Pelodiscus sinensis: one gene and its partner. Each later gene encodes a partner of the first gene's protein in a complex. Links are inferred from orthologs where the notes say so. Each region holds a gene or a part of one and is shown in the gene's direction. Other genes may lie near its edges.

Region 1 (7,561 bases):
GTTTCATGCTGGGTTCATGCTCACCCCCACCTGTGGCCCCAGCCTCAGCTGCTTTTTCCCCGTCCAGGGCCCCCTTCCCAGAGACACGGGCCTGCTCCCGCCCCAGCCTGGGGGACACTGACAGGGGGATAATGGGGCTGGCTTCCAGAACCCCCACTCTGGGATGCCAACGGGGGAGGCCAAAGGGGAACAGCTGCCCCAGGGCCCAGCAATTTAAAAGGGCCTTTAAATTGCCCCAGGAACTCCATGCAGCGTGCTGGGGGCTGGGTGGGGGAGGCTAGCCCCTCAACCCTGCCCCTTCTTAGGGGCCTGGACCCGAGCCCCTCTCCAGCTCGCCCCCGGCTCAGCGAAGTCTGTCGCCAGCCCTGTCCCTGAGCGGGGCGTCTCCTCTGCTGTGCTCCGAAAGGAGCAGCTGCCATTTCTGGGGTCAACAAAGTTGTTTCTCTTGCTCACGCCCCAAGTGCGCTGCTTGACCAGCTGGTACGCGAGGCACTGGGCACTGAGCTGCCTGTAGGTCCCGGAGGAGCCCAGAGAGCAGCCCCTGCGGCAGAGCCAGGCTCAGGTAGACGCGCTGCGTCCAGCCCAGCAGGAGTGGCGGGGAGCGTGCCTCCTTCCTCACTAGCCAGCCGGGCCACCGAGACCTGGCTTCACACCCAGCTAGGCAGGGAGCTTCCCACACCCCTCCCAGCTGAGCTGCTTTGCACAGCACCAGAGAGCCTGGTTTTAAAGGAAAAACTTCAAAACCAACGAACGGTCGGGCAGCACCTTACAGACTCACCAAACCCACAGCTGGGATCGTGAGCCTGGGTGGGTACGACCCACTTCTCCAGGTGCACGGAGCTTGAAACGTCCCGCTCCAAACCAGATAGGGGGTGGGGGGAAATAGCGATTTCGAGTGTTCATGTTCCATGAAGCACAGGACCTTCCGCATCCTAACGACTTAAAACCAGCCAATGGGCACGTAAGAGCAATTTGCACCTTCTCTGTCACCTTCCCACTCACCAGCGGTTCGCGCCCTGGTAACTGCTGCTCTTTAGGGTGCTACGGGAGGAGGTGTTTGTGCCCCTCAAACCGGGGTTTGTTAGCGGCCAGCAGCTGCCTGGAGGTGTCAGCTCAGCTGCCTTTCTATGGGAAAGGACAAGCTGCTTCTAGCCACAGAGAGGAGCCAGGTGTTGGGGTGGAGGGGTGATCTGTGCAAACACATGGGCCAAGTCATTTCTGCCTCCCACCCCCACCCTCTGTGGCTGGAAACTGTTCCCGTCCCTTCCCTCCTACGCAGGGCTGAAAGGCTGCTGCTGGCCACGTCCTGCTGCAAACCCCCACAGATATGGGGGGGGAGGAGCCTGTGACCCTGCATGCCCCTCACATGTGGAGCTGAGCAGACGCAGCACCGGGGAGGGGCTGGCCCGGGGCCCAGCCAGGCATGGAGGGCAGAGAGCTCTGGGCAGGGAGGGTCGGGTCCGGTCGGCTGCCCCCCACCCCCACGTGAGAGAGGTGCAGGGGAGCGTGTGTGGGCAAGCCTTACCGAGAAGGCGCAAACAAGGCTCCCATGGCTGGCCATGGCTTTGTCACGGGGGCGCAGGTAACGGGATGATACAGACAGACATCATCTTTCTATCCAAGTAACGGGATGTGACTTTGAACGCCAGCGCTGCCGAGTTCCTGGCCATTTGACAGGAGACGGGACCCAGCAGGGAGCTAGTCAGCAGGCAGCCTCCCGCCTGAGACAGGACACCGGTTCCAAGGCCTGATGGTTTGTGACTCTTTGGTCAAAATGTTAACCTCATTCCCCGTATGCGTTTGTGAAACTTCCCACCCTTGGGTGGTGCCAGACCCGCCCCCGCTAAGCCAAAGCGCCTGGGTTTTGTATTTGTACCCTGTGTAGGTATTGACAGATCAAGTCACCCCTTGACCCAGTGATGACTGCTGGGGAGGGATTTGGGGGACACTGGTCATGTGACTGACCCATGCGACTCCTCCCCACGCCACCCTTAGCCCAGGCGAGGGTCCCGCCTCTTCCTGCCGCTGCCCCCTACTCCACCTCTTCACCCAAGCCCCTGTCCCTGCTCTGCCCCTCCTCCACCCCGTCCCTGCCTCTTCTCACCCTTACTCTGCGCCCCCTGGTCCCCACTACACCTTTCCCCCAAGTCCCCTTCCTTGAGGGATGCAGCCAGTAGTCTTTCAAGGGGCCTGCAGCAGAAATCGCCCCCCAACCTGCACTACCCGGGCCCAACCCCCTCCGCTGTCTCCCAGCCACATCACCCTGCTTTCTGCCACCGCAGGTGAGTAGGGGTGGGGCCAGTCCCTGCTCTGGGGCCAGGTCCCTCACTAGTTCCCTGCGCATGGGGCCTAGGACTGTTGGACGAACTGTCCAGCTCTGCCCGCTAGCTACTGGCCCCTTGCCTCTCCCCTCCCACGGCACTGGGGGCACATGCCCCTTCCTGCCCTGCCCCACCCTTTGATAACTGCATGGGGGGAGGGCTAGCTCAGTGGCTTGAGCAGTGGCTTGCTAAACCCAGAGTTGTGAGTTTAACCATTTAGGGCAAAAATGTATCAGGGATGGTACTTGGTCCTGCTGTGAAGGCAGGGGACTGGACTTGATGACCTTCCAAGGTCCCTTCCAGCTCTAGGAGATAGACAATCTCCATTATTATTATAAGCTAAACAGATGGAGCTCCCTGAGCCTCTGGCTCTAAGGCAGGATTTCTAAGGCTGCATCTACAGGCCTCACCATAGTACGGCTGTGCTGTGCTGTGCTTCTGGACGCTCTGGGCATAATTCAAGCCGTCACTGCGTAGGTGGGAGATCGTCTCCCCCAGACAGAGCGTTCCCCGCTCCGGCGCTTTGTTTGGCAAAACTCACCCCGACCGACAAAACTTTTACCCACCAAGGGCTGGTGTAGACAAGGGCCAATCCTTGAGCCATGCTCACAGTGTGACATAGTGTGGGTACCTTGCTGGTTGCTATGCTGGGTGGTGGGCTGTGGGTGACCCCCACTGGCTGCTGGCTGCAGCACGGCCCAGCAGGGCAGGGGATGAGTCATTATGCAAGGGGCTCCCAACCTGTCCGACCAGTTACCTCCCAGGGAGCGGAACAAGGGAAAGGAGGGTGAGGTCACCCCTGGCTGGGGGGCAGGACTGGAGGAGAGTCAGGTAGTTGCTGTCTGGGATCATGGAGGAGACAGCCTAGGGAAGAGGCTGGGATTTAGGGGCCCAGTCTCCCCCATCTCAAGGGGGGCTGAGGCATCCTAGGCCTGCCTGGAACCAGATAACATCTGTGCTGTGCTGTACTCTGGAGAAGCAATAAACACCCTCTATTCGACTGGCTGGTGGAGTCTGTTCATGCCACTACGGGGGTGCAGGAGGTGGGGGAACCCCAATGCACCATCACACATGGCTTTTCTCTGCCCCTGCTCCAATCCACCAACTCCCTTCTCAAACTCAGTCTGCACCAGCCTACAGCGTCTGCTGCTCCGGGCAGCTCAGGAGCTCCCCGGGGAATGCCCAGCACAGAACCTCCCAGCAGTGGAGATGGGCTACCCAGAGCTCTTTGACCCTCCTTTACAGATGGGGCTTAGGGCCTTCGAATCCGCGGGGTGTGTCCCCGCTCAGCCCTGGCTCACACGTCTCCTTTGCACTAACACTTGTCTTCCTTCCCCTGGCGGGTGAGACCCCGAGCTGGCGTATGGCTCGGTGGGTACTGTCTGCAGGAGGAAGGCTTCCCCCCAGACAGCAGAGCGGGGGCAGCAAGTGATGCTTTTCACACCTGCCGACAGCTCCTCCCTGTGGGCAGGAAACTCGTGTTTCTTCTCGGTAGGAAGTGGCTGAGAGCAGCTGCGAGCTCTGTACACGTCAGCACTGGAAATTCACACTCCCCCAACCCCGCCCCCACCTCAGCAGTGCGAGGAAATCTCCCAGCCCCACGGCGCTGTAGCGGGGCTAGGAACGGGGAGGGGGGGAAGGTCCCGGTTGGGGGGCAGTAGCGGGGCCAGGAACAGGGGGGGGGCAGGTCCCGGTTGGGGGGCAGTAGCGGGGCCAGGAACAGGGGGGGGGCAGGTCCCGGTTGGGGGGCAGTAGCGGGGCCAGGAACGGGGGGGGGGGGGGCAGGTCCCGGTTGGGGGGCAGTAGCGGGGCCAGGAACGGGGAGGGGGGAAGGTCCCGGTTGGGGGGCAGTAGCGGGGCCAGGAACAGGGGGGGGCAGGTCCCGGTTGGGGGGCAGTAGCAGGGCCAGGAACAGGGGGGGGCAGGTCCCGGTTGGGGGGCAGTAGCGGGGCCAGGAACGGGGGGGGGCAGGTCCCGGTTGGGGGGCAGTAGCGGGGCCAGGAACGGGGGGGGGCAGGTCCCGGTTGGGGGGCAGTAGCGGGGCCAGGAACGGGGGGGGGCAGGTCCCGGTTGGGGGGCAGTAGCGGGAGGGGAGGAGGGGGCGGGGCTAGGGGGCGGAGCCGTGTGGGGCAGGGGGCGGAGCCCGGTTCCCCCAGCACCGCCCCCCATGGCCCCACCTGCGCAGCCCGGAGCCCCGCCCCCTAGCGGCGTTGCTGGTTTCCCGGGAGACGCCAAGCGCCCTCCTACGTCAGTTCCGCTCGGCCTCTCTGTTTCCGGTTTACGGCATTGGCGCCTTTTCTGTGGCGGGAACTGCTGCTGGGCGCCGACTGTGACCTCTGACCTCCTACGGCTGACCCCTGACCCCGGCTGGGACTTGGGGGGGCTCCGGCAGGTTCGTCAGCGCCCCAGAAACTCGGGGCGGCCGGGGCGTCACGTGTCCCCCAGGGGGTGGGGAATCGTGGGCGCTGGAAGGGGCACGTGTCCCCGGGGGGGGGCGCTGGAAGGGGCACGTGTCCCGGGGGGGGGCGCTGGAAGGGGCACGTGTCCCCGGGGGGGGGCGCTGGAAGGGACACGTGTCCCCGGGGGGGGGCGCTGGAAGGGGCACGTGTCCCCGGGGGGGGGGGGGCGCTGGAAGGGGCACGTGTCCCCGGGGGGGGGGCGCTGGAAGGGGCACGTGTCCCCGGGGGGGGGTGCGCTGGAAGGGGCACGTGTCCCCGGGGGGGGCGCTGGAAGGGGCACGTGTCCCCGGGGGGGGGCGCTGGAAGGGGCACGTGTCCCCGGGGGGGGGGCGCTGGAAGGGGCACGTGTCCCCGGAGGGGGGGGCGCTGGAAGGGGCACGTGTCCCCGGGGGGGGCGCTGGAAGGGGCAGTGTGGCGCTAGTAGCCATGGAGCAGGTGGGGGGGCAGCTAGCGGGGGGGCCCATAGTAACAGGCCCGTGTCCTCTTGGCAGGTGGAGAGTTGTTGGCCCTGCCGGGAGCCCCGCGGGCGCCAGCCATGTTCTCGGAGCGGGCGGCTCCCACTGCACAGAGCCTGCTGGCGCCGCCGTCCACGGAGGCCTCCACGTTCGCCAGAGTGCCCGTGTCCACCTACGCGAACTGCTCCCAGCACTTCCGGCTGGCGGAGCGCAGCTTTAATCGCCAGTATGCCCACATCTACGCCACTCGCCTCGTTCAGATGAGACCCCTCCTGCTGGAGAGAGCCCGGCAGAAATGGGGTGAGTTCCTTCCCTCCTAGGCGAGGAGTACATTCTCAGACCAGTATCTGCCTGCCCTTCTTAACATATGCGCAACGTGCGTCCGACGGCATGTGGTCAGGCTCCTTTCCAAATCTGGACCACTGGTTGGATCACTAGTTTCCCTGGCTTTGGCCAGGTATGATGGGGAGTGTTTGCACAGAGCGTGCACACTGATCCATGCCCTTCACTGCCTACCCTGGAACCTGCTTTTGGACAATGAGTGAAACCAACTGAGAGTGAATCTCAGTATTGTATTTCACTTGCCAGGTTGCAGGGGGAAACTGGTGTGTCTGCTGAGAAGCCATGTGCTGTGTCTTTGATTTTTGAAGGATACAAAGAACTGTTTCTAAGCAAAACAAAAAACAATATTCCTAGTAACTGAAGCCTCAGGACATTTTGTTAGTTCCTAGGTAACACTTTGTCTGCCCTGAATTCCAGCCCTGCTCCTGTCAGGTTAGGGACTTGCTCCAAAGGGTTAGCATGTCTACAATGTCTGGGTGGGAAAACATCTACCATTGCCAAGCAGTGACTCTGGCTTGGAAAACCTTCCATTGGGCTCAGAGAAAAGGAGGCATGTGTTTCGGAAACAAAAGTTTCATTCAGGTAGCATTAAGAGTCTGAGATGGGCACTCCGTGGCCAGGAAGGAATGTCGCTGAGTTTGTCTCCAGCAGAGAATGAGACGTGTGAGCGAGAGGCTACATAGGGTTGAGGACTGCGGGTTGAAGGAGTCATCTTGCTCTTGGTCTCTGAATTGCTGTTTATTGATGGAATTACTGTACCTGAATTGGTTTCCTTCTGAACGTGTAACTGCTGTGGAGCGTGGCCATGAAACGTTGTGCAATAGTGTAACTGGCAGGTACCTTCCTTATTGCGTGATTTGAGGCAAGAGCTGCAGATGCCAGAACTCACTGGCTAAAGATAAATACCTGGCTCCTTTTCGGAAGGTTCTGGCCCAAGGGTGACTCTGTCATAGCTAGGAGAACATGAGAAATGGAAGGACCAAACCAAAGGACCAGAATACAGCCAAGACTAATTGGTTTTTAAAGAGTCTCATAACATGCATAAAAACATAAAGGCTGTGTCTAGACTGGCCAGTTTTTCCGGAAAATCAGCCACTTTTCCGGAAAAACTTGCCAGCTGTCTACACTGGCCGCTTGAATTTCCGCAAAAGCATTGACGATCTCATGTAAGAAATCAGTGCTTGCGGAAATACTATTCTGCTCCCGATCAGGCAAAAGTCCCTTTTGTGCAAAGCTTTGCGCAAAGGGGCCAGTGTAGACAGCTCAGATTTGTTTTGCGCAAAAAAGCCCCGGTCGCGAAAATGGCGATTGGGGCTTTTTTGCGGAAAAGCGCGTCTAGATTGGCCACGGACGCTTTTCCGCAAAAAGTGCTTTTGTGGAAAAGCGTCTGTGCCAATCTAGACGCTCTGTTCTGAAAATGCTTTTAATGGAAAACTTTTCAGTTAAAAGCATTTCCGGAAAATCATGCCAATCTAGACGCAGCCAAGAGCGGCCTCACCAGGTCATATCAGTGATCCATCTCGCCCAGCGTCCTGTCTTCTGACAGTGGCCAATGCCAGGGGCTCCACAGGGAGGGGACAGAACAGGGAATCGCTAAGTGAGCCCTCTCCTGTCACCCATTCCCAGCTTCTGATAAACCGAGGCCAGGGTCACCCTCCCTGCCCAGCCTGGCTAACAGCCATTGGTGAATCTGTCCTCCATGAATTTAGCTCTTTATTTAAAAAATCCTGTTAAAGTCCTGGTCTTCATAAAATCCTCTGGCAAGGAGTCCCGCAGATTGACTGTGCTGCGCGAAGAAATACCTCCTTTTAAACCTGCTACCTATTCATTTCTTTGGGTGACCCCTAGTTCTTGTGTTGTGGGAACAAGTAAATAACTTTTCCTTCTTTGCTTTTTCCGCAACAATCATGATTTTACAGCCCTCTATCATATCTCCCCCCCCTTAGTCTCCTCTTTTCTAAGCTGGAAAGCCCCAATGTTATTA
Region 2 (7,447 bases), on another chromosome or scaffold:
AAGAGCATCCATGCCAGTGTAGATGCTCTCTTGCGCAAGAAAGCTCTGATGGCCATTTTAACCATAGAGTTTTCTTGCGCAAGAAATTCATGTTGCCTGTCTACACTGGCCTCTTGCGCAAGAACAGTTGCGCAAAAGGGCTTATTCCTGAGTGGGAGCATCAGAGTTCTGGCGCAAGAAGCCCTGATTTCATACATTAGAACGTCAGTTTACTTGAGCAAGAACACGCGTACAGTGTAGACAGGTAGCAAGTTTTTGCATAAGAGCGGCCACTTTTGCGCAAGATCGCGCCAGTGTAGACACAGCCTCAATGTTTAAGATGCCATAGAACTCCTCATTGATTCTGCAGATACAGACTTAATATGGCCTCCCTCTGATACTTGTTAATATAGATGATAAAAGCTATGTAATTATTACTGACTTGTCTTTTTTGCTTGCCTAATATTCTGAAGATTTTCTTCTATCATCTACCACCAGTGATGCCTGTCTCAACTATATAACATGCACTTAATCACTTTAACTTACTCAAAGTTTTTTCATCAAGGACTCATTTTAACTCACTCAGTCCCTACACATTGGTGTCATTATTCTGTTGGCTATAATGTATGCATACATGCTATACAAGGCTTAAAATATATGCATTAATGTATAATAATTTGTTTCCCTCTAGTTTACTATATCAGGTTCCCTCATTCCAAATCAGCTTTTAAATAAAAGGAGAAATTGTTACACACCCACATTTTAATAGTAGTTGTTCTTTCCCCCCCATTTTGGGTGATATTTTTATGAATATTATGTGCTTTGAACATCTCTAGTTCATTACCCTCTGTGGTCTGGATGACCATTTATCATGGGCATGGCCAACTTTCCCACAGTCCCATAAAGTTTGTTTACAGCCACAAGACCTGGCTCTCAGTGTTCTGTGCTATTATTTAGCTCTAATTTATCCCTAAATGGCTTGTAAGAGCCCAGTAAGAAGTGGAAGTGTTGATAATGCTGCTAGACAATACTGACCTCCCGTGGTTCAACAAATTCGCTGGTACAACACTGGTCAGGCACATTGTTGCTGCGTCTCTCAGAAGTCTCTGAAGCTGGCTCCCTGCATATACCTGCTACCATCTGCCCTTCCATGCTGCTGCCTCTAATACAGAGGCAGCAGCATTGGGGGGGGGGGCGGGGAGAGGAAGGAAGGAGGTGTGTGTGTGTGGGTGGGTGTGAGAGAGAGATCCACAGGAGAATGTGAACAGGGAGCCATCTTAAGACTGGGCAATGCCCATTTTGCTTGCAAGGTCTGATCAGGGGATGTTCTAAAAGCATGCTTAATTCCACACAAAATTGGCCAGTGGGGAGAAGAGGCAATGGCAGCAGGAACCATTAACCTAGTGGTTAAAAAAAAAAAAAACTTAAGAGCTGGAAACTGGTTCAACTCTTCCCCCGCCCTGCCCATGCCCTGCCCAAGAAAAGAAAGATTTCCCACCTCCTAGGTAATCAAGTGATCCATCTCCTTGAGACAACGAATATAGAAGCAGCCTGAAAAAATCCATCCAAGATGTGCCAGCTTGAGGGAGGGAAAAGCCTGCTCTTAAGTTTAAATCTAAAACCAAAACATACACATATTCAGTGGCAGTGGACAGCATGGCTGTGTCTAGACTGGCCAGTCGACTATCCAATAAGAACATAAGAACAGCCGTACTGGGTCAGACCAAAGGTCCTTCTAGCCCAGTATCCTGTCTGCCAACAGTGGCCAGCACCGGGTGAGGGTGGACCAAAGACAATAATCAAGCGATTTGTCTCCTGCCATCTCTCTCCAGCCTCTGACAAACAGAGGCCAAGGACACCATTTTATCTCCTGGCTAATAGCCTTTTATGGACCTAACCTCCATGAAATTATCTAGCTTCTCTTTATAACTTTTTTATTGTAGTCCTAGCCTTCATAGCCTCCTCTGGCAAGGAGTTCCACAGGTTGACTACACACTGTGTGAAGAACTTTCTTTTATTAGTTTTAAACCTGCTACCCATTAATTTCATTTGGTGTCCTCTAGTTCTTCTATTTAAGGAACTAATAAATAACTTTTCTTTATCGGCCCTCTCCACACCACTCATGATTTTATAGACCTCTATCATATCCCTCCTCAGTCTCCTCTTTTCTAAACTGAAAAGTCTCAGTCACTTTAACCTCTCCTCATATGGGACCCGTTCCAAACCCCTAATCATTTTAATAAGAATTTGCAAATGCTTATCGAATAGTCAACAGGCTAGTCGACTACTTGCTTCCTCCCCCCTTGCTGCCTTTATCAGAGAGGCAGCAAGGGGGGTGAAAAAAGAGGGGGTGCTTCAAATTGGCAGCACTGTATGAAGCCTCGGGTGAGGGGGGAGTTCCTAGCTGACCCCGGGCTCCATGTGATGCTGCCACTTTGAAATGCTGTGGGGAGCATGGGGCCAGTGGGGGACTGTTGGGAGTCCCCTGCTGGCCCCATGCTCCCTGCAGCACTTTTGCCTTTGAAGTGTAGCAACAGCCCTGGGGCTGGCTGTTGCTACACTTCAAAGGCGGAAGTATCCTTATTGACTAGCTGAATAGTCAATGCAAATTGCATTGACTATTCAACTAGCCAAATAATCGAAATTTTATATCTCTATATTTAAAGGGCTAGCAACTCCTGAAACTAGGGATGTTAAATTTTTTTTAATCAAGTAGTTGATGGAAGATTAATCAGAAAGGAGGGTGCTGGCTATCCAGCTAAGCCTCTCCCTTTGAAATGTACCAGAATGGCCAGGGCTCCGGAACATTTCAAAGGGAGAGGTGCAGCAGTAGGAACATCTTTGCCCCCCACGGAGACAGTGCACTGGCTCCTACTCCCCCCACCTTGCTGCCTCTCTTTGATAGAGGCAGCAAGTGTGTGTGTGTGGGGGGGAAGGGGGGACAGAAAGATGATGTGTAGACGACTAGTCACTTTAACTTACATCCCTACTAGGGACAGTGGAGTGTGTGAAGTCTCCTCACCCGCCAGTGGCACATGGCGCTGAACAAGCTGGTGGTTCTCTAAGCACTGTATGCCCCTGGCGGTGGGGCGGAGGGGCTAAGACTTCACATGCTCCTTCAACCCCAGGTCAATCAGGCTGGTGAAGTACCCTGGCACCACCCCTTCCAGGGCAGCCTGTGACCACTTCAGAAATCCCCAAATGTCCCCTATTTCAAAAGTTACTGCCCACTTAGTTTAGATACTGTATTTACATCTGATTTCATAGAATTCCTTTATCTTTCAGTCGAAGCATATACGAGACAAAAATATGTCTATGAAACACACCCTTTTTACACAAGGATCTTCCCGGTGTTCCTTCTGATTTTTCCTATCTGGAATAATTTCTTATGTGCATCACCAGTAGAAACAAAACACCTAGCTCTGCCAATCAACTGGGCAGCATCTAAATCTGAGTGGCCACACAAGTGCACAGCTTACAGAGCACACTGATCTGGAGGGCTGTCTACTCATGTGGTATTTGGCTGTGGCTGAGATTTACGTTAAAACCCCCCAGCTCTTTAACACCCTTCCCATGTCTAGCTCAGGAACCAGAAAGCAGATACAGGAGCCTTAACTTCATTAAGGAAAACAGACTCGTGATTTTTAAGCCAATCTCACGACTGTGGTGCCCCCCCCCCGCGGGTTAGCAGCCCCCCTTTCCTGCTCTCTCCCGCCGAGGAAGACGGCTCCCTGGGACTGGTCGCCGCCCTAGGAGAGGCCCCTGTTGGACCAGGGAGGGGGGCGCGGGGCAAAGGGAGCCCACCCCCAAGCGTCCCCCCGCATCGCGCGGTGCCTGAGCGCCGCTCTCCCGGCTGCAGCGGGCTGCTGTAAAGGCGGCGGCGCGCACGAAGCGGGCAGTGGGGCGGGGAATGCTGCAGCCGGCAAGGGCGGCGCCGAAGCCCAGCCCCTGTCGCTCCTCTGCAGCGTGCAGCAGCCGCACCACAGCCCCTCCCTGCCGCCAGCGGCACGTTCCGCCGCCGCCGCCCTTTTATAGGCAGAGAATTGTGCTCGCCCCCCTCCCCCATTCCGTCGCCTGCGGGCCGCGCGCAGCGACCGTTACAGCCAAAGGGGGCGCACGCGACGGCTGAAACGTTACCTGAGAACTCCCGCTCCCCCTCCCCAGTCTCGTGCGTGACAGCGGCACGAGACTTCCCCTTCCCCCAGCAGCGGGCGGCTACTCACCTTCCCGCAGCCAGACGCCTCAGACTCCAAAATGGCGGCCCGCCCCAACCTAACCCAATCCTAGCCCGGGAGTCCCCAGCCCGATCCATGACTCGGCGCTCCGAAGCCTCGCCTAGGCGCTAGGATCGATTGTCGAGAAAGTGATCCCGCACGGCTTCCATTCCACTGCCCAGGGAGCGGAAAAAATACCACCCTGTACTGAAGCGCAGAAGGGGAGAAACGCATTCCCCCCGCCCGCCCCCATCTCCCCCCCCCCGGTGGTTGCGTCCGTGACATCATCATCATGGCAACAACAGCTGGAGCTGAGGAGCCGCCGCCGCCAAGGCATCCGCGCTGCCGAGGGAAGGGGCTGCTGTGCCCATGAGGCGCTCGCGGCCGGCCAGGCTCTAGAGCCAGCTTGGGCTGCTCCGTGCGCGCGTGTGTCCGTGTGCGCGCGGGCCGGCGGGGAGGGGGCTGCGCGCGCGGCGGTGGCGGCGGCGGGGGAGCCGTGTGGGCTCCGCGCTCGCTCAGTGCGTGGGTCGCTGTGGACGGCGGCGAACATGTTCTCAGTGAGGCTCGTGACCGCCGACTACTATATGGGCAGCCCGCTGCCCGGCCTGGACCCCGGCCAGTCCCGCTTCAGAGAGGCCCCGGCCAAGAAGGTGCCTGTGGTGAGAGTCTTCGGCGCCACCCCGGCAGGTAAGGGACGCTCGCCGCCTCTGCGGGGCCCCGCGGGCGCTAGGCCCGGGGACCAGCCCGCCACAGGGCTCGCTTTGTGATTCAGCCGCGGCGTGCGCCTCACCTGCCGCCGTCGCCGGCCTCGCCCCTCCCCCCACCCCCGCCCGGACCTCGCGGGAGCTGCGCCGGGTGATACCTGTCTGGAGCCGGCGGGGACCGCAGGGTCACCGTAGCCCGCGGCGCCTATGCGGCTCCCTCCAGGCTCCCGGAGCGGGGGCGGGGGGCGCTAAGAGCAGGATCTCGGGGTCTGCAGGTGCGAGGATGAGCAGGGAGGCTGGTGCCCAGGGGGAGCTGGAAATCGTTGCGTTCGCGCCGCTCACAGGGGAAGCTGCTCCCACACAGGCTCGCGGTGCGTGAATCACAACTAAGCACAGCTGTAAAAACACAGTGGGGTCTGCTCTGCTCCGGATAGAGATTTGTACGTAGCCCAGGCCGCCGTGCGGTGCTGGGGTTTGTGTCTTTAAAGAAAGAGACGCAGTTTTGGTGTGTGAATGGATAGGAGAAGAAAAATCATGCGTATCTTTGAGGAGGTGAATAGTGAATTAATTTATCAATGCTGTATCTTTAAAGTGCTCCCTAATACAGAGTCCCATACGTGAGACTTCTGCAACACTTGTGAAGTGGCTCTTTTTATGTCGCTGTTACGCTAGTATATTGTAAATTGCTCAGACCAATAGGCAATTGTGCTGCACTGCAGAAGGGAACGGCGTAACAACTAGCCACATGTTGGCCTCTGCGACTTCCTAATGCTACATCACATTCATTCTTTTTTGGTATTCAGCTATACTTATCATCACTGTATTTAATAGCCTGACAATTCCCAAGTACATCCTGCAAATAACATTCTCCTTACCCATATATTTTTTTTAAATATGGGTTCTCTTTATTGCAAGTTTTCAGTCCACAGTCATGATGAAAAAGGGTCTCCTGTCCATCAGTTGTTACAAACATTAGAGTATCTGTTCTCTAACTGTGGGTTGGGACCCCAAAGGTGGGTATTGACTCCATTTTAATGGGGTTGCTGGGGTTAGTTTAGACTTGCTGGTGCATGGGGTCAAAGTTGAAGCCTGAATCCCAGGACTGGTGCCAAAGTCGAAGGGCCTCAGCCTTAGGCAAAAGGGCTCAGGTTATAGGTCCTCGCCTGGGGCAGAAGGTCTCCACCTTCAGCTTTAGCTCCCCACCCAAAACAGTGGGGCTTGGGCTTTGCCTTTGCCTTCCCCCTCCAAGGCAGCTGGATTCAGTTTTCCATCTCCCCTCCTGGGGTTATATAATAATTTTTGTTGTCAGAATGGGATTGCAGTGGAATGGAGTTTCAGAACCCCTATTTTAGAGAATATTGAAATAGATGTTTGTGTTGTATGATGCTGATCTTGGAAATTAATGCATTTATGCGTTTTACAGATTTGTGTGCTATAGGCAGAGTTTTTAATGTACACTTTTATCATTAGGGAGGGGAGAAACTGCAGTAAAAGTGTATTTATTAGGCGTCTCCTACTACTAGTAGGCTGTGTCTACATTGGCAAGATTTTGCGCAAAATCTTGCCGCCTGTCTACACTGGCCGCGAGTATTTGCGCAAGAACACTGATCTTTTACTGTATGAAATCAGTGCTTCTTGCGCAAATACTCTGACGCTCCCGCTCAGGGATAAGTCCTCTTGCGCAAGTGTTCTTGCGCAAGAGGCCAGTGTAGACAGGTAACACCAATTTCTTACGCAAGAAAGCCCGATGGCTAAAATGGCCATCGGAGCTTTCTTCCACAAGAGAGTTTCTATACTGGCACAGATGTGTTTGTGCAAAAGCAAATCTTTTGCGCAAAGGCACATGCCAGTATAGACACTCTCTTGCGCAAATACTTTTAACGGGAAAAACTTTTCCGTTAAAAGTATTTGTGCAAAATCATGCCAGTGTAGATGCAACCGTATAATATAGACATTTTTATTCATATTTGAAACTCCAGTGTTCTCTTTTCTGAATCATCTTCAGGTTCAGAGGATGGTAAGGTAATTGCACCAGTTTGCATCTGCTTCATCTAAAACTCAAAACTATCAAGTAGATAGCATATTATACAGGATTTAAATCCATACTAACTAGTTAAACTATAGGTTTAATTGGTTAACTGCCTACAGTGTGGTGGGCCTGGCAGGGGCTTCTCTGGCCAGGCTGGGCTGAAGCCGTATCTCCCCCCTGCCCCCATGGTATCCTGCAGGCAGGGGCTGCTTTGGCTGGGCCTGGCCTCTTGTTAATTCTTTACCCCAGTAAGCATGCTGGTAAAGCTGTGCTTACTCAGTAACCAATTAAACCTTTACATCCTCAGTAGATAGGTTAATGCGCAAAACAGCTGATATAATATAGCAACACCTCTTCGGTTGTAATATGCTTTTTGCATACATTCAGTGCTGCTTATTTTTTGCCATCATAAAATCTGTTAAATACCATAAATTTCAATAGTTTTCAAATGACATTTGATAGAGGGAATAGTATTTGAGAAAATAATTATGTAATCCTATGAGTAATTGTTTCATTATTCA

What was found.
Region 2: POLD2 (region 1) and REV3L share a complex: the UniProt entries of both Homo sapiens proteins name them as parts of the tetrameric Pol-zeta complex. The link is inferred for Pelodiscus sinensis from reciprocal best matches to the Homo sapiens genes POLD2 and REV3L.

The regions. Positions count from the first base shown.
Region 1 is NC_134738.1:4,461,613-4,469,173, reverse strand, and holds the start of POLD2 (DNA polymerase delta subunit 2), read left to right. Parts: upstream 1-4,554; 5' UTR 4,555-4,713; intron 4,714-5,271; 5' UTR 5,272-5,315; coding exon 5,316-5,535; intron 5,536-7,561. UniProt on the Homo sapiens protein: Accessory component of both the DNA polymerase delta complex and the DNA polymerase zeta complex.
Region 2 is NC_134713.1:79,618,559-79,626,005, reverse strand, and holds the start of REV3L (DNA polymerase zeta catalytic subunit), read left to right. Parts: upstream 1-4,444; 5' UTR 4,445-4,741; coding exon 4,742-4,880; intron 4,881-7,447. UniProt on the Homo sapiens protein: Catalytic subunit of the DNA polymerase zeta complex, an error-prone polymerase specialized in translesion DNA synthesis (TLS). Lacks an intrinsic 3'-5' exonuclease activity and thus has no proofreading function.